Linked DNA regions of Caenorhabditis elegans. The protein of the gene in region 2 interacts with the protein of the main gene of each other region in a pairwise test. Each region holds a gene or a part of one and is shown on either strand. Other genes may lie near its edges.

Evidence for each region. The genes of interacting proteins can lie anywhere in the genome.
Region 1: the proteins of ceh-51 (region 2) and ham-2 interact in a two-hybrid assay, tested with the Caenorhabditis elegans proteins (one large-scale study listed by BioGRID).
Region 3: the proteins of ceh-51 (region 2) and mab-3 interact in a two-hybrid assay, tested with the Caenorhabditis elegans proteins (one large-scale study listed by BioGRID).

What each region holds. Positions count from the first base shown.
Region 1 is NC_003284.9:4,552,414-4,560,266, reverse strand, and holds ham-2 (Zinc finger protein ham-2), read right to left. Parts: upstream 5,583-7,853; 5' UTR 5,574-5,582; coding exon 5,414-5,573; intron 4,769-5,413; exon of another isoform or gene 4,625-4,768; intron 4,335-4,624; exon of another isoform or gene 3,893-4,334; intron 3,525-3,892; exon of another isoform or gene 3,386-3,524; intron 3,156-3,385; coding exon 2,982-3,155; intron 2,934-2,981; coding exon 2,662-2,933; intron 2,612-2,661; coding exon 2,429-2,611; intron 2,337-2,428; coding exon 2,193-2,336; intron 1,702-2,192; coding exon 1,456-1,701; 3' UTR 859-1,455; downstream 1-858. UniProt on the Caenorhabditis elegans protein: Probable transcription factor that acts downstream of egl-15, to promote migration of the HSN motor neurons from the tail to the gonad primordium during HSN cell differentiation.
Region 2 is NC_003283.11:18,871,869-18,876,815, forward strand, and holds ceh-51 (Homeobox protein ceh-51), read left to right. Parts: upstream 1-2,264; coding exon 2,265-2,518; intron 2,519-3,588; coding exon 3,589-4,039; 3' UTR 4,040-4,114; downstream 4,115-4,947. Other genes in the region: emb-4 (Intron-binding protein aquarius), read right to left, coding at 758-1,098. UniProt on the Caenorhabditis elegans protein: Required for mesoderm development, including specification of muscle and coelomocyte precursors.
Region 3 is NC_003280.10:9,730,031-9,738,588, reverse strand, and holds mab-3 (Protein male abnormal 3), read right to left. Parts: upstream 6,359-8,558; 5' UTR 6,287-6,358; intron 5,178-6,286; 5' UTR 5,168-5,177; coding exon 5,025-5,167; intron 3,579-5,024; exon of another isoform or gene 3,578-3,578; coding exon 3,499-3,577; intron 2,821-3,498; coding exon 2,674-2,820; intron 2,305-2,673; coding exon 2,133-2,304; intron 1,628-2,132; coding exon 1,296-1,627; 3' UTR 554-1,295; downstream 1-553. UniProt on the Caenorhabditis elegans protein: Transcription factor which binds the DNA motif 5'-[CGA][TCA][TA]ACAATGT[AT][TGA]C-3', probably as a monomer.

The DNA.
Region 1 (7,853 bases), on a different chromosome or scaffold from region 2:
CGGTAGACTTTCAAAATAATAAGTGAAAAAAAACTGCTAGACGTAGTTTTGAATCCTTATATTGTTATGATACAAACAATCAAAAAAGGTTGAAATATAAAAATGGTAGGAAAAACGTTTCTAGCTGACTTCCAAAATTAGGGGTACCACTTTTTGGATGCACATTAAAAATTTCTACAATTTTTAAAAAGTATTGCAATATCTGAATTTTTACATCCTTAAAATGGAGTACCAGATATAGGAAATTTCAATATATCGCAACATTCTAACCTGTGTGAATTGACTTGCAGCAGCTGGTGATACAAAAATACTAAATGTTCAAAACATAAAATGGACAAGGGAGAGTCACAAAAAATTATCTAAATATTAATTCATTTTCGAGAAATATTTTAAGCATCTATTCTGCAATAACATAGATTTGACTATTTTTGGAGTTTTATATGGTTTTAGAATACTTTAAATACACTCCTGAGAAATTTTGAATAACAATTGAAGCCAAACACAAGTTCGTAAGTATTTCATCTAGCAATTTTTCGTTTTGATGTAAGAAAACGAAAGCTGCAAAAAGGGAATCAACTAGTACGAAATTTCTTGAAGCTGAAGTTTTAGACAATCGACTGAGTACATCAGGAAGAAATCAGAAATGAATCATGCTCAACCTTTCACTATGCTGATTGTGACGTCTAGTGGGTCGAAAAGGTAAAAATGAATTTTCACATCGCTTCACCTGAAAGCACATTACCCTCTGAAACGGGTTCAGTTTTGCATTCAAACAAAATGATGTTTTATGCGAGGATAACATCATCTTGTGAGAGTTTCGTTTTTGCTAGTTTTTTGTATGGCTTATTACTTCCTGCATTTTGAACTTTGAAAATTATTTATCACAAATATAATGAAATGAAATCATTGAGGGAAGGAAAAAGTCAAGGCGGGAAAAAAGGGTAATGCTATAAAAGTCAAGAAAAGGACCAGAAGAAATAAAAAAGGAAACATTTAGAACAATGAAGTAATGTAAAGGACGTTCTAGGTAAATCGCTGAGTGCATTTAAGGCTACGTTTTATTGAAGCTATTGCAACAAAAAAGTAAAGTAGATTCGGATTGTTTGGAAAATGTCCACCAGTTTCTAAGATTGCGGTAAATACAATTGTCAGGAATGAGAGCACTCTGATTTTTTTTGGAAGTTTGAAATATTTGGATGCAAAGATAAGAAGTAGCTACGAGAATAGGCATTATGTACAAAGATATAAACGACAATTAGTTTAAAAGCCAACCAAAACCGCTTTAAAAGCTGTTGGTTCTTTGATTCAGAGTATTTCGGAAATTGCTCAAAGGATTGTTGTATTTCAATGGCTCAAAATGCTGATTAGAAACAAGGAATGAAAATGACTACGTGGTTCAACTAGATTTGATGACACCATCAAAATCGGAAATAAAGAAATTGAAATCGTTTGGATCTAGGGAACCACTGAGGGACGGTTCATGTGAATCAAATTGTTCAACAACATTCTCATCGCAGGATTTTGAAATAGATTGTTCGGCCCTGGAGATGGCATAGGCATCATCGGAGGAGGCAGCATCACGGGTGGCATCGGATTCGGTTGAATTTTGCGGAGGAAATCCACTTGAACTTGCAACTCTCTAATGGTCTTTTCATAGGCACGACATTTGTCCTCAACTGCAACAAGCTTCCCTCTGGCTACCTGAAACATCATAAACTTATGTAAATTATTAAAAATATCAGTGGGTGGGGGATAACTCAGTCGGTAGTGGTGGCCGCTGAAGAACTACAGGTCACGAGTTTTTACAGTGCGCGCGCTTCTTGTAGGACACCCCTAAATTTGTGAAGCATTGGAATACATACAATTCTTCAGGAAAATTTTTTGTGATATTTGGAATCGAGTGTGTCAAAAAACCTCGAATCCGTTTTCATAAATTTATCATCACAATTGAAAGCACCCGTTTTGCTATAGGACCCTGAGATTTTAACCAGCTGAAACCTAGCGTGAACTTGAAAGTGGAGCAGTCCATGACTGGATTATCAAACTTAACCTAAAGACTAATCATATCACCAGAAGTACTGTACCTAATTCCCAGATTCTCTTCACATAGCGCTCGCAAAATGGATGGTTTTTTATTTTTTTTTTTCATATTTTAAATTATAATTCAAAACCATTTAAGACAACTTCCTAACCTGACAATCAAAGCATTTCAAACTTTCGCCCGAATGACTAGACGATCCACCACTGATGTGAGAATCCGAAACCGTTGGAGAAGGCTGATCATGGGAAATGTGGATGTTTTTGTCATCAATCGTCATTTTCAATGGTGGTTCGCCCTGAAAATTTTGAAAGTTTCATAATATGACATATTAAAGTTTAATGGGGTGAAAAACAAATTTTCCTCAAAATTTCAATAAGTTTTCCTTACATCATCGCCTTCCACATCAATATCAGCATCGTGTTCCAGTTCTCTTTTGAAAGTTGGTTCAGTCTTGACAATGACTGACCGAGGGCTGACATCACTGCTTTCCACTTCAAATTTGATGTCTTCTTCAGTTGTCTGCACTTCTAAGTCGTCATAATCGCTAATATTAGAAGACTGGATGGAATCCTTAAAATGTAATACATTTGAATTCAAAACATCAAAGAGTTGTAACGTACTTTGGACGGTGTTTGTTGCGCTGCCAGATTAAGGGCCGCCGTGTTGATGGGATTGTTGGCAAGCCACGCTGAGAGGAACTGTGAAGGACCCATGTTAGAAAGATCCAGGGGGAACATCGATTTGGAGTCGGGGCTTTTGAGCAGTGTCGGGAAAATGGATCCAATGTTGTTATTGTTTGCAGCAACTTGTAACATACGCTTTTGCATCAACAAATCAGGCGAGAAGGGTGGAGACTGACGCGGGGAGCCCGACTCGGATGTGCTATCTACAACTGCAAATTTGTATTAATGGATTTCAAAATTTGTGGGTAGATCTTTACCATCTGAACTCTTAGCTAAAACAGCCGCTTCCCCCGGTGTCCCATTTTTCAGCATACTCTGCATATGGATGTGAAGACTTGTTTTGTCGGGAAAAGCCCAATTGCAACACCGACACATAAACATTCGGGTAATGTTGTGTACTCGATACATGTGACTGCGTAGTGTATCGTTGCCTGCAAAATTGTTTCTTAAGGTTTCCTAATGACTGAACAGTGAGAGCAGTGCCGGCTCATTTCGCACTCATTTTATTATGGTAATTATCAAATACTATTTGAACCCTTCTCCAGCTTTTGAATTCATGTCTCAATGATCTAAATATTTGTCGAAAGTAACATGTAAATGGCTATTTGCCAACCCCAACTGCATTGCTATTTCCATATTCCACTTAATTGCCATTCTTTGTGCCACCGAGCCTAACTGTCTATCAATCAAATGAAATTCGCAACATTGGGACACTATACGCGCGCCCGTAAAGGCATGTTAGGTGCCAATGTGACGAATGTTCTACGACGACCCCCCTCATTTGCATGTTTGTCTGAATTTGAAAATACGCACTATAGAAAATCTATAGAATAGCGGATCTTGCCTACCGACAAAGCAGTAACACAAAAAAAAACGACAAACGCAGGGGTCAGGCTGTAAAACATTTTCATGTTATGTTTCGGTATTCTACTGGTTGATCCGCTTATTGTTGGATTGCGCACGAGTAATATAACAAATCCTGTTGATCTGCCTGCTAACATGCCGCCGTATGGATTCCACGTATAGGCGAGCGGTGAAGTAAGGTGTGAAAAAAGCTGGGTGCTTTGGCCGAAAGTTTCTTGAACGACCCCCATGCTCAGCGAACCGTAACAAATGATTGACGGCGAGTGAACAACCAATAAATTGTAATGTTGGAAAGGTGGTAGAAAAAGAAGAGGTTGCAATTTTTGTTGCGGAAGATGGGGAAAGAAGACAATCGGTGGTTTTTTTTTTACTTTGCCCGCGCGCTGGCCCTATTCTTCGCTCTCAAGCTCACTTAGCGACAGTGGCGTGCCAACAATTAGCTGATGGATGGTCATCAAATGACTGACCTTGGAGGTTCATCCTACCTTCCATTCCAAGAAAAGAAACCATTAAGTAATACATACATACCGTCGGTTATTTATGCCTCTCGCTCTCTTAGGAAGCCGCTCGGGATGGAAAGATGGGGCAATTAGACAATGCAAATAGCAGACGTGTTATTGTAAAACTGTGGCGTAATATGGTCAGAGGTGTCTTTTCAAAAGATTCTTGCACAAATATTAGAGTCAATTTGTTATTATTTAATACATGATACTGCTTTCCATTATAGCTGGAGACGCTCCAGTGGGAAATTGAAAAAAAATAACGCCGAATTTGCCAAACGACGCTACAAAAATTTTTTGAAATTTTTAATTTTGTTTTTAAAATTGGTAATTACTTTTTTGAAAGTCGTCGATAAACAGTCGCCTACATATTTTTCAAATATAAATATTCAAACATTGTAGAGATCCGAACATGCGGCATTGCTATAGTTTTCTCGAAAAGTGGCAAGAACACAGTTATTGCCACTTTTTGACTGTCAATAATGTTGGTCATTTTGGCTCTATATAAGTGGATGTTAACCATTTCCCCACTGGCACTACTCCACCTTTAAACTTTTTGCTACTAGTCCAAAAGTGCACATGGTTGTTTTAAAAGCTTAACAGATATTACTAAATAGATACTCCTAATTGACAGTCGGAGCTATCTCGGTATTTGCACACCTCCTCATTCAGTTTGCCATGCCATATAGATGTCTACAATTAAGAATACAGTAGTAGTTGGAAAGGGTGTCAATATTTAGATAACCAATGTAATTTTTTGGCGGAAAGAAGGAGACTGTATCAACCTTGTTTGACACATGCCCAATATAGCCACGTGCTAATCGGAGGGTGTGAGTTGAGTTTAAGCTTGTCAGTAAACAATGCCACTGAGCTTTCGCGCATTTCAGATTATGGAGACTTCCGATCAAATAAATGTATTGGGAGGGAGATTAGAAAAATGTAGAAATGCAATAAACTGGTAGAAGACAGAAACTAAATGCAGCAGGAAATAGAACATTCGTTCAGAATTTTAATTCAATTTTGAAAAAATAAATTAGAAAGTTAAACATCACCTAGAACCCATAATTTTTTATTTTTAGATTTTTAGATCAATTTTAAATTTTCAATAGAATAAGTTCCGTACAATTCAACAATAGCTATGTTCTCGAGTTAAGTTTCCCTCTCTTTTTTCTTATTATCATATGATAAAACATGATACAAAACTGTGAAAACATCAATAGCGGCATAAATTGTTTCGCTCTTTCTCCCCTATTGTTAGTCAAGCTCCTGCTACTCTGATTCATCTATTTCTCTTTTTTTTCTCAAACTTGCATTTTCAAACTTACTTGGAATTTCGTTGTTGCAAGTGGTACAGGTGTAGCTTTTAAAGTGAGCCTGCATCCGGTGACGACTCAGAGACGAACTGTGGCAGAATACTTTTTGGCAAATCGAGCAGGGAAATGAGCCTTTCAAATCGGGACGTTTTAGCTCTGCACGATAGGGCATTGTCTAAAAATGTTTTTGTTATTTGATGAAGCTTTTAGAAAATGGTGCTGAAATTTTCACAAAATCGAATTTGAAAGGAAACACTAACAAGGAAGAAGAAAAAAACGGTGGACAGTTTGAATGAAAGAGCGCTCATAGATGAACAAGTAGGATGGGCTACCAAGACCTCCACTACTTGAAAAGTTTTGCGTACAACACTCGAAAAGGTATTCAGACGCAGCTCTTCTCTCCGGAGACAAGAAGGTCGTCGCCGGCTGACACCAACCAGGTATTTACACCCTCACTTGATACTGTTTAAAAGTAGCGAAAAAGCATACATAGCAGCGATTGGACAATGCATTACAGTAGCTCAAGTATGGCGGGGAAGGTAAGAGTGCTCGAGAGGAGGAAGTGAGAAAATAACAGAACATTCAAAATCGAAATTTGTCACACGGCTTCTGCAATCTTAAAATGAATACTACAGTAATCCGGTGACCTGTGCTCTTGGACTAACAAAATGGCAAGCAGTAGTGCAAGAACGAGCTGAAGGCTATGACTCCCCCCGCCTACCCGATTTTTGGAGGCGGGGCATACCATGCAGAATAGAGATAGTGAGCGACGGGACGCACGGGGTGAGGGGAATGGCATCAAGCACAGTCGGGATAGTAAGTGGCAACAATTTTGGCTAGCAATTGCGAGTTGATTAGCTTTCTCAATTTTGAAAAAAAAAAGTTGGAAGCGAGTCTTAGATAGAAGCACGATGCTCTTAGGAACAGATGTGGGCAAGCTGTTCAAGCTTTTTTTTAGTATAGAACACAAGCGAATAACAGTTGGGAAACTTCTACCAAACACGGCTGACCCAAAAAAAAATAGAATGACGCGAGGGATACACCAAAAAAGCCCTCAAACCATAGACAGCATGATTGCTTGAGTTGAGGATTGCGCGCATCTTCGATTCTCGTGTTCTTTTTTCTTATTGGACGACCACAACAAAACCAGTTTTGTAAAATTGATTCGGGTTGCGCAATGCTAGAATAAACTATCCAACATCGCTATTATATTCGAATTTTTGTCTCTCTCTCGCTCCCGCTCCCCCTCTCTTCTGACTGCCATTCGACCCCATAATCACACAATGCTTTGAGGCCGGTTTTCTCGATCCGCATCAACAAGTTCAACTATCTCTATTCAATGTGCTATTTTAATTGGGCACACACTACCAAAATTTTGAAAATGTTGAGTATGACTGTTGAGTTTCTATCTATCTGTATTATTTTTTTGGGCCTACACACGCCGCAGCAACTACAGTAATTGTAGAGCGGTGACGGATAAGAGTGTGAATCTTACCCCGTTGAGATTCTCGGCACGAACAGGGATTGGCCTTGGCCGTGTGTCCAGGCGCTCGTATAATAAGGATTCACCTCCTCCCGCGTACAGGTCGCGTTCCTTTTCTTGACGGCTACATAATCAGTAGCTATCATAGCACATCTTGCCTTTTCCCGCCAAATGTCTATCTGGTATATATCTCCGAGAGAAAAGAAACAAGAGGCGAGTAAGGTAATGGAGATATAGCGAATGGATAAGAAAACTGTTCCATATACTACATCAAAAGACAGACAGGTGAACGCAAAGTGACAAGAGGTCTAGGTGGGCAAGTAGGAGGAACATATGAGAAAAAAGGGAAATGGAAATGAACATTTTTTAGAAGTTTTCAATTTTAGCAGGACTAACAGGTATTGGAAAGAATGTTTGAAGAACCTAGGAACATACTTTTATGGTCCACATATTTGCATCAATTAGACATTCAAATAGAGAATGCTCCTATTCATATATGTATTAGCATATTACAATTGTTGCGATTTTTAGTTTTTGGACTTAGTGAAATGGTTCAAAACCACGCCTTTTGTGCTAAAACGTCTAAGTATCATAATGAAACTTTTGCAATATTTAATAATATTTAGAGTCGAAAAGCGGAGAAAACTGAGTTTGCATGTTTGAACCTCTAAAATGTTGAAGTATGCATATTTTGAACACAATTTTAAACAAAAAAAGCTTATTAAAATTTTTTTTGTGAGTGAGTTCAGACTCAGAATAAAAATGTTTCCAAATTTTTTTTTAAAGCTTGATTATTTTTGCGCCATTGTTTTTAATAATTTTCCACTGGCCGTAGTTCAACTTTTATCAAAACCTCTGAAAGACTTCTTATACCATAGTAAATTGAAAAGTTACGTAATGACGAGAAGGAACGACGAGCCAGCAGCTACTTGAATGATTTTTTTTTAGGTCAAACGGCAAGCTAATCGT
Region 2 (4,947 bases):
CGTAGAAATTCGCAATTGTTCGAGAAAATCTGAATTTCAGCAAATTCAGCTTAAATTTCAATTGTCCGGTGAAAACTTTTGCAAATTTTATATGAAAATTGGCCAATTTCGTACAAAAATCCGATTTTCAGTAAATTTATACCAATTTTGATGTGGAAATTCGCAATTGCTATAACTTTCTTTCTGAAAAATCCGATTTTTAGCAAATTCGGCTTAAATTTCAATTTTCCTGTAAAAATGTGCAAATTTCGTATGAAAATTCGCAATTTTCACACAAATTTCGTTTTTCGGGAAATTCAAAATGAAAATTTCAATTTCCATGTAGAAATTCGCAATTTTTCGGGAAAAAAAATCTGATTTTCATGAAACTTATATGAATAATATAAATTTTGAATTGGAAATTCGGAATTTTTATAGGAAAAATCCAAATTTCAGCAAATTCAGCTCAAATGTCAAATTTTCTTGTGAAAAGGTGCAAATTTCATATGAAAATTTGCCAATTTCGCACAAAAAATCGACTTTCGGTAAATTTATATTTAAAATCTCAATTTTCACTTAGAAATTCGCCAATTTTCCGAAAAAAATCTGAATTTCAGCAAATTGAGCTCAAATGCCAAATTTTTCTTGTGAAAAGTTGCAATTTTCATATGAAAATTTGCCAATTTCGCACGAAAAATCGTTTTTCGGTAAATTCAACCGTAAAATTCTTAATTTTCACGTAGAATTTCTCAAGAATTCCCCAAAAAAAAACACGCACTGAGCCCTGGCTCTTCCCTGTCGATCCAACTGCACATTTGGTACACTAAGCCTGACTAATCTCGCAAATAACGATTGTTCCATATTCGAATATTTCTGGAATGCCTGATTCTGTACAACTGGCGGCAGCTGATGATGATCTCCAATCATAATCCATCGTTTCAGTCGATTGTGTCCGTCTTGTGGATTTTGTAGTAACAATGGGATAAATGTTTCAACTTCAAGAATTTGAGCGGCTTCTTCCATTACGATATTATCGTAGCGGAAGCCGAGCTTCACGAGCTCATTTCGACGGAGAGCCGCGTGTGTACAAGTCATTGCGATGATTTTTGCCTCTTTCACCTGAAAAAATCCAGGATTTTTATAATTTTCAGAGTGTTTTTGTTGTAATTTCGTCGAAAAACTCTAAAATTTTCAAATTTAACATTTCGAAATTTGAATTTTAATTATATTTTTTCTTTTTTTTGCAAAATTTTGTATATTTTATTTGAAATTTGTTGTAGGTTGTAGTTTAGGGAGCACTATATGCCTAGATTCGATATATTTTTTTGCAATTTTCAACATTTTTTCCAATATCTTATTGATCAGATAATTTTTATGTCAGTTGTTTTTTTCTTTTTTGCTTTTTTAAAAGTTTTAAGTAGGCGGGCAATTGTTGTTCGGAAAATTCGGCGAATTCCGGCAAGTTTTTACCCGTTTGCCGGAAATGTTCAATTCCGGCAATGTGCCGGTTTGAAGGAAATTTTCAGTTCCGGCAATTTGCCAGAAATTTTAAATTCCGGCAAATTTTTGCCGGTTTGCAGGAAATTTTCAATTCCGGCAAATTGCCCATTTTGCCAGAAATTTTCAGTTCCGACAATTTGCCGGAAATTTTCAATTCCGCCAATTTGCCGATTTGCCGGAAATTTTCAATTCCGGCAAATCGCCCATTTTGCCAGAAATTTTCAATTCCGGCAGTTTGCCAGTTTGCCGATTTGCCAGAAATTTTTAATTCCGCCGGTTTGCAGGAAATTTCAAATTCCAGCAATTTGTCGATTTGCCAGAAATTTTCAATTCCGGCAACTTGCAAATTTGCCGGAAATTTTTAATTCCGGCAAGTTTTTGCCGAATTGCCGGAACTGCAGTTTTTGACTGAAATTGGCTTAAAAATAAGCTTTTCAGACCAAAATTTCTACCGTAATCCAACACAAAGTACCAAAACTGCCAAATTTTGGCATTGTCCGATTTGTACGAAAAACTACAAGAATCAATCGAAAATTCGCTTTTCCGTGGAAAAACTTCACATTTTTCCAGATTTTCAGACAATTCTGAAGAACAGCCGGAAAATCTCACCCAATTCCCAGGTATCTCACCTCTCCGGTGTCACCTTTTCCCGGTCATGTCTCCCGCCAAACAAAATCGCACCTTCTCGCCTCCCCGCCTACCTAGGCAGCAATGCTCCGCCTAGATTTACAGCCTCCCCAGCTGGAGAATAGCCACTATAATTCCCCCAATTCATTCCACACAAAATGTCATCATCCAACTATAATATTAATAACGGCGGTGACTATTATCCTTTGTCTTCTTCGAATCTTAATTCAACTTCTGCTATTACTAATGCTACTGTAATGGAATATTCCACAATGCCAAGCAGCTCTCCGGGCTCAATGAGCTCATCGCCAGCCTATCCGGCGGCCTATCAGGCTCCATCACCGTGCTACGTGGCGGATCCCAATCAGCTTTACTATCAACAACAGCTGGCTCATAATGGGAATGATATGTTGTAAGTTTTTTCGATACTTTTCAGTACAAAACGGGCGTTTTAGAGTGATTTTCACTACGTTTTTCTACCGAAATGCGTGAAGAACCGCTAATTTTAATGGGGTTATTCAATTAGCGTCGGAAAATTAAAAAGTGTAGAAAAATTACGTCACAACTGTATTAAAATACATTTAAAAACATGTATTTAAATACATTTTGCAAGTAACATTTCTTGAATAACCCCATAAGTTTTGACAGTGGGAAATTACTCAAAATATAGCTTTTTCACACTATATGGCCGCGAACGGGCATTTTTAGCAAAAAAAAACTTTGTTAGCTGCTTTGTTGCAATTAACAGCTCTAAAAATTCCAATTTGAACTATTTTGGTAGCTGCAATTTTGCAATTAACAGTGTCGAAAAGTCCAATTTGCACAAATTGGGCAAATTTGGTAGCTGCTTTTTTGCAATTAACAGTGGCCAAAATTCCAAATTTAGGCAATTTTGGTAGCAGCTGCTTTTTTTGCAATTAACAGCTCCAAGAAGTCCAATTTGCACAAATTGGGCAAATTTGGTAGATTTATTGCAACTAGCAATGTCGAAAATTCCAATTTGAACTATTTCGGTAGCTGCTTTTTTGCAATTAAAAGCTCCAAAAATTCCAAATTTATGCAATTTTGGTAGCTGTTTTCCTGCAATTAGCAGTGTCGAAAAGTCCATTCTGAACTATTTTCGTAGCTGCTTCTATGCAATTAAGAGCTCTTAACAATCCAATTCAGGAAATTTTGTTTGCTACTTTTTTTGCAATTAACTGTTTTCAAAAATTTCAATTTTGAACAATTTTCGAAGCTTCTTCTTCGCAATTAGCAGTGGCCAAAATTCCAAATTTAGGCAATTTTGGTAGCTGCTTTTTTTGAAATTAACAGCTCCAAGAAGTCCAATTGCCACAAATTGGGCAAATTTGGTAGCTTCTTTTTGGCATGTTAAATTTACAGCGGCAAAAATCCCTATTTGGAAAATTTGATCACTGCTTATTTGCAACAAAATTCATCTCCGTGATCGCTTTTCTTCCGAAAATTCCTTTTTTTTTACAGAGTTCAAGCCCATGCTCAAGCCTACCAAGCTCAATGCTTCGCCTGGTTCCAGCAGCAGTACTCACAACTCTCCCCATCCTCGTTTCCTCATCCTATGGTGGCTCATCACGCTGGCTTCATCCCACCACCGCCGTCTTTTCTACATCATCAGCATCAGCAGCATCCAAGAGCTCCTTCAGAAAAGCGGAGAGGCGCTCGAACTCCGTTCTCCGATTCTCAGCTTTACGCGTTGAGAACCAGATTTGAGCAGTGCGACACAATAAAGGTTGACGAGCGACGGAAGTTGGGAGCAGTCATCGGACTTTCGCCCGAGCAGATCAAGATTTGGTTTCAGAATCGGAGATTCAAGTTGAGAAAGGAGAAATACAAGCAGATCAAGCAGGACGCTGTGCAGCAACAGAAATCGGCGAAGGAGGAGGCGGAGGAGGACCAGAAGCATGTTATTTCTTGATTTGTGTAGCTTTTTGTCACTTGTATTATTGTGTGCCCCCAATAAACGATGTTCGATTGAATTGAAGAAAAAAAACCGCGAAATTTGAATTTTCAGTGTTTTTGAACCTTTTAGAACATCAAAATTAGTAGAAATTCCACAACTTCAAAATTTTTGTCTCAAATTTACAACTCTCCGAGCATGTGTATTATAGGCGGTGTAGTCGATTTTTTTTATTGCTTCATTAGACTCAAAATTGTCTGAAAACACAGAATTTCATAATGAAACTTTTTTGAAAACTTCTCAAAAAAAAATTATGACGGCTCAAAAAATGGCCAAAAATTCGTTAAAATTTCAAATTTGACCGACGACTTGTCAATGTCGTAACGGCTGAAGGCAATTTTTTTTTTGAAATCACCGTCAAATTTTGAGTATACAATGTAATTATCTTGCGTTTTCAACTTCATTTAGGTATTTTAAAGTCCATGGACTACGGCGAGATTTGGTTTTAAAAATTTAAAAATCTCTTCGTCCATCGATTTTAAAATACCTAAATGGAGTTGAAAACTCAAGATAATCATGCTGTAAACTCAAAATTTAACGATGATTTCAAAAAAAAATGTTTCCAGTCGCTGCGGCATTGACAAGTCGGTCAAATTCAAATTTTAACGAATTATAGGCCATTTTTTGAGCCGTCATAACTTTTTTTAAAGAAGTTTTCAGGAAGTTTTATTATGAAATTCGGCGTTTTCAGACAATTTTGAGTCTAATGAAGCAATAAAAAAATTCGACTACACCACCTATAATACACATGCTCGGAGAGTTGTAAATTTGAGACAAAAATTTTGAAGTTGTGGAATTTCTACTAATTTTGATGTTCTAAAAGGTTCAAAAACACTGAAAATTCAAATTTCGCGGTTTTTTTTTCA
Region 3 (8,558 bases), on a different chromosome or scaffold from region 2:
TTGACTGGGATGTACCTTTGTTTCGCGTTGAGACCCCCGATCCATCTCATCGGGAGGTTAAAGCCCTCTTATTCATGTGGTTTAGTGATGTTTTTTTCTTGGTAAATGAGACAGAAATGGATGGAAATTACGGACATTTTAAAATTTTAGACAACAAATACGGTACCGGGTCTTGACACGATCAATTTTTCAGAGGACAAAAGAGTGTGCGCCTTTAAGGAGTACTGTATTCGCAAACTTTTCGGTGTTGAGCGGTATAGCTTTTTTTTCGTTGTTAAATTTTTTAAATAAATAAATACATTTTTATTGGGAGAACTGAAAATAAAACTTTTTAAAAACTCAGAAGCAACGAAAGTTTAAATTTAAAAAAAATATGTTTTCTGAAACAGGAGAAATTGGGAAATACCCTATGGTACGGTAACGGAAAAGTTTCATTCGTGCTAAGACCTTGTCTATGGGTTTCTACATGGCCGCGGAAGAGAAAGCTCGGCCGCCAACTTTTTTTCTGGAAATTGCTGTACGATCAAGTTTGCATACAGAACCAAGACGATTTAAAAATGAAAAGTTTATTGAAAAATCAAAAATAATAAAAATAAATCAATAATTATTAGACTCGATGCGTCGTGTGTTTGTATGTTTGGAAGTTCTATACATTTTTCTCTCCAAAAAATGTTTGGTTTTTTAAAACCAAAACATTAAAAAACATGATTTCACTTTTTTTCAAAATTATTACCACCGGGGGTGTCTAAAACGGACCGGTTAACTGTTTAGGATTTGATCCTATTTTCCGAGATAAAACAAAGAGAGAGGGAACGAGAATGAGAGACGCAGAGCGAGAAACAATACAGTAATCCTGGGAAAGTGTGGGCGGAGCTCAGCTCAATTTGGGCGGGGACAGTGGGAAATCGATGCAAACGGAAGAATATCGGTGAAATTTGGGAATTTTCGAAGAAATTGATGACATGATTAGGTGGCGAAGAGACATAGAAAGATAGTATGTGGTTTGGTGAGAGACGAAAAGATTATTTGAATTTAAAAAAAATGGGGATTTTTGGAATAACACAAGCGGTCTTGAAGACGAGAAAAAAATCGGTAAATTGGTTGGTTCACTTGGTGAAAAATGAATGAAAAAATTAGAAAATATAACAAAATTGGTAAAAAGTGAAAATTCAAGAAAATATGAAAAAATCATTGAGTTTGAAACCAAAGATAAAAAGAGATTGTGTGGAAAATTAAGCAAAGAAGGGAAACATACAATTTTTCTAAAAATCAATAATTGGTCAAAATTATAGATCTTAGGCTTGCAGACCATAATTTTTCAGATACATACTCCAGAACTCATTCAAAATTGCTGCCGATGAGACAGAACCTGCAGAAATGCCTGGAAGGAGTGGAGCCTGTTGTCCGATTGATGGAGCCATATTTTGAATAATGCTCATCAGGAACTGTTGTTGTTGCAAGCTTATCAATTGTTGATTCATTGGGATCGGCGGATAGATTGGAATCGGAGCAGCCAGCGTCAGAGTGTATTGAGCCAGAAGTGGAGATGGAGAGCATGGTGGAGACATTGAAAGGGATGGGGACATTGTATCAGTGGTTGAGGATGGAGATGGACTTGCTGATGTTCCTGGAATATTATAGATTTAATTTCTTTGAAGCTACAATATAAATTTTAACTGTCTGCGTTGATATTTGCATCAAAATTACCACTTTTTTGTCTTCCCCTGAATTTTGAAAATACATTGGCTTAAGTGGTAATTATCTTTAAGGCAAAGTAACTTTCAGGGCAGGGCCCGCCTGATAGGTAAGCAGAAAGACATATTCTATAACTGAGAAGTTGTACCAATTTGAGATTCTAGACATATTTGAAATTAACCTCTTAACTTTCGTAATTGTTTATTGATGCGTTTGGATATTCCCGTATTTGATTGTTTCGGTACGAAAAATTGGAAATAACAAGTAGCCATTTTATATAATCTATGAGTTGATGGTAAAATCTATGTTTCTGATAACGTTAATACGTACCGTCAACTCTAGAATTACTTCCGACTGGATTTCAGGTTTAGACTCCAATTTTTGTGATTCTGACTTAAAGCTCAATTTACACACTTCTACAAAATCCCATAGCTTACCAATTATCTTTTGACCATCTGTAGCTGTGACAACCATCATCTCCATATCCATATCTTTCGATTTTCTACGAGAGTTCCTTTTTGGTTCTTTACCATCTCGGGATTTCTGTTGTGATCTGCGTAATTTGATTTGAGCCGCCATAAGATTTCGACGGTGTTCCACAAGAGTACACTGAAAAATAATATTTTTAAACTCGAAAATCGTAGTTCTGTTTACGCGTTTTCAAAAATCTCACACAAATTAATGTGGCAACTTTCTCTGTCAGTCCAAGAGCATGCTCCAAGTTGCCTGCTCCACAACAATTTTTAAAAAGTCAATTCGTAGCACTGTTGCATTAAAAATACTTCGAAATAGTTGAAACTTATCAAAATGTTTCAAAAAGTCACATTCTCAAATCTCATTGGCAAGCCACTCCCCCATTTCCCTACAGTACTTTTATAATCCTATAATTTCTTCGCGCAGGTGACATTGAAAAGCATAAAAACTGCAATGTTGTCAAGGGCGCCTGACTGCCGATGATGACAGTATAATTACACTTACCAATGTACACTCGCATGTCACAAATTGGCACATTGTCCGCTTGTGTCCCCGCAATGGGACTAGGACTCCGTGAGCCGAGCACCGAGCACAGTGTGGGTCACGGACACGCTTCCCATCACGGGTTTGAGTTGCCGGTGTGCAGTGGATCTGGAAATTTGGAAAGGTTTATAAGGGGTCCCGCTAAAAAGTGTTTTATTTTCACAGTAATATTATAGGAGTTAATGCAATCACAAAAACAATAACCAAGAAATTCGGTATAAACTTTCAGTAGGCTCAAGAATGCTTGCAGTCAATGCAGCCTACAATTGCCTCATACCTACACGCATACCCATGGTCCAAAGTGAGCATTTTTCTCATTTAAAAATACACTTTCAACAAATAACTGAAATAAAACAATAAGGTAGGTACGCCTATAGATGGCCAGGCAATGACCTATATGTGACTTGCCACAACAAGAGCCCCTTTTGAAAAAGAACAACTTCATGAAAAATATACCTACCCTTAAAAAAATCCGATAAAATCAATCTTTTTCTCACTTTTTCTTTGCTTTTCACACTCTATCTATTCGTATCTTCAATTGTTTTTCTTACAAAAAGAGAAAAAAGCCAAGACGTCAACCCACTTTTCATTTTGAAAATGTCAGATTTGATCTGAAGTTGCGATTTTTTGGTGAACTGATAAGATGTGGTATTTAAGTGCGTGAGAACGCACATACAACCTTCAAGACCGCCTACACCGCGAAACAGAAATGTAGGCAGACAGGAATGAGGTAAGGCACAGCCACCTACAGCCACACCTACCATAGAATCCCTATAGAATACTCACCTTCTTTTTGCTTAGCAAATTGTTCAACTGTCTTCGCTGCTCGACCATCGTGCATTCTCGACATGGACATTTTAGATATCTGTAAAATGTTCGTCTTGTTTATTTTTCAGTGCCACTTGGTGTCATCGACGGGAGAATTTTGTAGTTGTACAGTAACCCGCCCACCCATTCAAATATTTTATTAGACTTTTCACAATAGAGATAGGCCCTATCTTTTGTTAAAAATTATATGAACTGAAAAAATTGGGAGAAAAAAAAAATTGGGTGAGGAATTTTACGACTGTATAGGTCATTGTGGAATGGTTTGTTTGAAAAGTGAGTGTATCTGTGTGATTGGATGTCAAAAAATGAATGAAGATTTTTGAATGAAAAGCAAACATAATTTTTTAATAATTTTCGGTTCCAAAAAAAATAATAAAAAAGGCTGAAAAATTTTTAGTTGCTTGAATTGTCTCAAACTGATCCCAAACAACCAAAATTCATGATGTAACTTCCCAAACATATCTCGAAAAAAAAGAAGCGCTTTTTTGAATTTATCTAAACATTGGAAAAAATGATCGACCGAAGAAGAAGCTGGCAGAATTTCACTAGTTTTTTTTTTAATTTTTAACCGGATAGATATTATTTTTGTAAAGCCTAATAATGAAATTCGGTCGTTTCGGGCGAGTTTTGGATATTTAAACCAGAGAAGTACAAATTCTTTAAACGAGCGTTTAAAAAAACCTAAAAAGAGTAACACACCTTGATATACATATTATTAAATGTGTAGTAGCGAAATCAGGGAATTAAAAAAATTTCACATAGGTATTCAAAAAACTCTTGTAGTCATTTTAAAATGTTTCCCAGATTTCGCTAATCCATCTTCAATTTAGCTTAGTGATAATTGTCGTCATTGCAAGATCTTTTTGAGTCATCTTTCACCTTGGTGAAACATCTACAGTATCCCTAGACCACCTTCAAAATGGTTTAGGTTAATGTATAAAACATAACTTTTTGCCTCTTTGCATTTTCCCATTCTTCTCCTCCGTTTTTCGCGTCCATATAATAATTCGTTTTTGACCCCCCTCACTCATATAATAACAATTTCACCTGTATGGGTGGTATTTTTCGCTTTAAATCGACAAGGTCAGCTGTTTTTTCTTGCTTTGCGTCTTTTCTTGCCCGATCGTAATCGGTAGACGAACATCTCAAATTTTACGGGTGTCTTTGTCGGAGGGCTTCGCGAAAAAAAAAACTGATGGTGGGTGAATAAGGTCGGTGACGCGACAATTTTGAGATAAAATTTGGAATTTGGAGTATTTATGGATAAACTACATACTTTTTCGGCACAACAAAAGTTACAAAAAGTTCATTAAACAGTTGTTAACTTTTTATCGTTGCAAGACCCAAAATTATCAAAAAATTCAAGAGTTTAAGCATTAAAACGTGATGTATATAATTAAGGGTGAATGAGGGAGAAACATGGAATGACAAAATAGTTTTCAGATGAAATGTAGTTTAAAAATGCAAAAAAAACCATTGCTCACCTACAATCCGGCTTGTGACCTTTCCTTGGCTTCAACTCCCCATGATTTAAACATCTCTGACAATAATAATTTTTTTCTTGCTCGGCGAGCTCATCGACTGCTTTCGCCTCACAAATCTCCGATACGGGATCCTCGGTGAGCATTAGAGCTCCTCTGCAAAATTTTTTCAGATTATGAATTTAGTTGTTTTTGTTGAAATTTTTATTTTTAATTAGGGAATTAAAAAGAGGGATCTATAAGCATTATATGAAACTGCTATACTCTAATCTTGACTTATAAAATAATTACGAAATTTTGAAAATGTCGTGGAAAAGTCAAATTTTCAAGACTGATTTTTGTGAGAAAGAACATTTTTTCGCCAAAAATATTGTTCTTTGCATCGGAACAAATTTTCAATTTTTTAAAGGAGCAGCTGGTAATGCGAATTTTTTTTGTAATACTGTATCTTTTCTAGTTTCCAGTGTATATCTTTCGGATTAAAAAAATTTTCAAAGTAAAGTAAAAAAATTTTCTTTTCCTATAATGTTAAGAATTTTGAGAATTTAAAACAGAAAATTTAGAGAGCTTTGAAACCAGTTTTTTTTTCTTCAAAAATTACAGATAGCTCAAACATATATAAAATACGTTTTTATAATCTAAATGTTCAATTCAACGTTGGGCTCATTCTGTGACTTTAAATGTGGAATAAAGTTGGGCTACTGTATGTTTTTAAACCTGCAATAGTTAAAAATGTTAAAAACCAGTTTGAAATTTTTTCTTATAAAGAATTTTTCAGAACGGATATACATGGAATTTCAATATTTAATGGCAACAAAGTTTTATTAATTTACAGAACCGTATTGCTTATTTGACTTGAAGGAAAAAAAGAGCAAATAAATTTCTAAATAAAATACGTTTGAAGTTTTTCAAACCTAACTGCAAACTTTATAAAATCACAAAAATCGATTAATTGCAACTGGCAACATTTGATCGTGTTACAAAAGGTTCAATTTTTAATCAATTAGAGGTTTTTATCAAGAAATAATTTTTTGTAGAGACTAAAACCAAGACAAACAGACAAGTCAGGAGCTACAGTATTTCTACAATGTACATCAGATCAAATGTTCAAGTTTTTGTTAAGCCATTTTCTCAAAAATTTCAAAGAGTAGACTGTTAGGAAAGTCAGCCACAAATTGTAGACGCAAAGATGGAAACATTTTCACATAATTTTACTGTTTTCAAAAACCCCAAAAAATTATTCTGAATCGACTGGAAGCACCTACCCAAAAGTACAATTTCCTCCAACAAGGGGTCAAGATCGAGCTCCTAGAGCACCGATAGCATTCAAATATCGAAAAGAAAAGGAAAAGAGGGAGTAATAGGCACTCCCCTCCTGTGAAACGGGGCGGGTCCCAGCAAGAAAGAGTCGCGGCGACGAAGCGCCGCCTCTTTTTTGGCGACTGATGCCACCCGCGATTGGATAGAAGACCTCACACGACGATAATTAGAGAACGCCGAACGTGAGAAAACCTGGTAAGAGACGCCAGACAAACATATATCGGGAGGGAGCGGCGCCCCGAGACTATGGCGGTGGAGGGGGACACCGCTATCAGTTCTCGCGACGACATATTTTTTCTCTGGCTGACACTCCGCGAATCGTGTGATCTCTGCGTTTTTTGGGGACACCTGTAAGTACGTGTGATCATGGAAAGAGAAGAGACGAGAGAAAATTGCAAACTTTTAGTTTTTTATTTTATTTCCTGTAACTCAATTTTTATAGGTTTTGTTCGAACTTTTATTATCATTCGTTGGGTAGGCTTTTCTAGACTTTTCTGTATTTTAGAAAACTATTAAACATTCCTGGAATGTGACCTACCTTGCTTTAAAGGAAATTGAAACTATGTCTAGAATTATGGATCCACAAGTTGGAACCTTGGAGCCTATATAGAAAGCTTAATTATATTTTTTTTTCGAGGAAAAATACAATTCTTGAGCTTTTTTTCAGTCCATAGGGCCAAGATCCCGGCACCGGGCTGTAGAAAAAATTAGGACTGGAAATTCATAACTGCTCCCATGTGACCTAATTAATATTCATAAGCTAAGTACTTTCTTTCAGCTTTTACTAGCTTTTTTCATTTCTTCATTTGAATCTTAACCCCCCAACCCAACCACAATTTTTTTTCTGAACACCCGCGTCACCAGTTTCAGATTGATTACATATCTAAGCCTACAGTAATCCAATATTTCTCAATTTCGCCTAATGAGCACCTTCAGGTCTTGTGTTCAGTTAGCAGAGAGAGAATGAAAATTGGCAGTTTCAACGCACACATTTGATCTCGACTGTGTCCTCGAAATGGAAAGGAGAAGAAGCGGTAGAAACAAAGTGGGATTGACAAGAAAATTACAGAGGAAACATTTTTGGTAAAGGTTGATTTGGACCTGAAAATATATTAGGAATGTTTTCGAGAGAAGCTACCAAAAACTTTGAAAAGTAATAGTTTTGTTGAAAACTGTCTTACCAACTGTCAAAGTTCTAGTGACTCACTATTTAGTCAAACCGTTTTTCAATTACCAAGATTTGAAGTTTCAGTCAAAAATTATTGACCTGCAATGGATAACAATTTTCAATATGACTTTTAAAGTTTCAGTAATTTAAATTTCTCAAATTTTCCCGAACCAAAGATATTTCCAGTTCCACTTTATAAATGTCGTTAAAAAATTTTAGGTTTGAGAACCAACTTTCTAAAGGAATTGCTGATAAATTTTGACTAAATTCTTGTTTTCAAATGTTGCCGAATGGACTGTATTTACTCTGAACATTCTCTGTACTCCAAAGAGATCACCACATCGAGTCTAGACAGTCTCAACTCGCTCACTACCCGCCCCGCTGATTGTTTCGCTCGTAGGAAAAAAACGGCTGAAGTGTGAGAGTGAACGAACATTCCGTCGTGTTTATCTTGTTGAAATAGTGCAGGTTTCTGTGAGATCTAGACCACCCATCTTTTAAATACTGGTGGTCGATCGAAGCGAAATAAGAGAACGATTTGTTGCGTAAGTGGAGCCTATTTCGAGGGTTTGCTCTTTTCGATTAAAAAAATCATTGCCTGTCGTTTTACACAGCAGACAAAAAATCAGATATTGGCTAGCATTTGATAGTATAGAAATTACGGTAGTGATTTTCAGAAATTTCAAAAAAAAATTTGAACATTTTTTCTGATAACTTCTAGCCTCCACCCAATTTTTTCATTCATTCAAAATCCCAAGCGCTTGCAAGATCAAATCCTTGAAATTTAAAACTCTTCCCTCGAGACAACCTCCGTACAAAAAGGTCTCATAAATCGGGAGGTCCGGGCGTCCAAATTCAAACGTCCTTTTATCTTCTCCGACCTCGCGCCGGGCGTCCGTCTTCAGGCCACCCATTAGAAAAATTGGGGCGGCCCAATAAAAAACGGCTGTTGTTATTCGCTTTTTCCAATCGTAGTTCTTCGCAATTTTCCGTGTCTGCGTCTCTTCGTCTCGCACACTATTTCGTCGACTCCCTTGACGGATATTCAG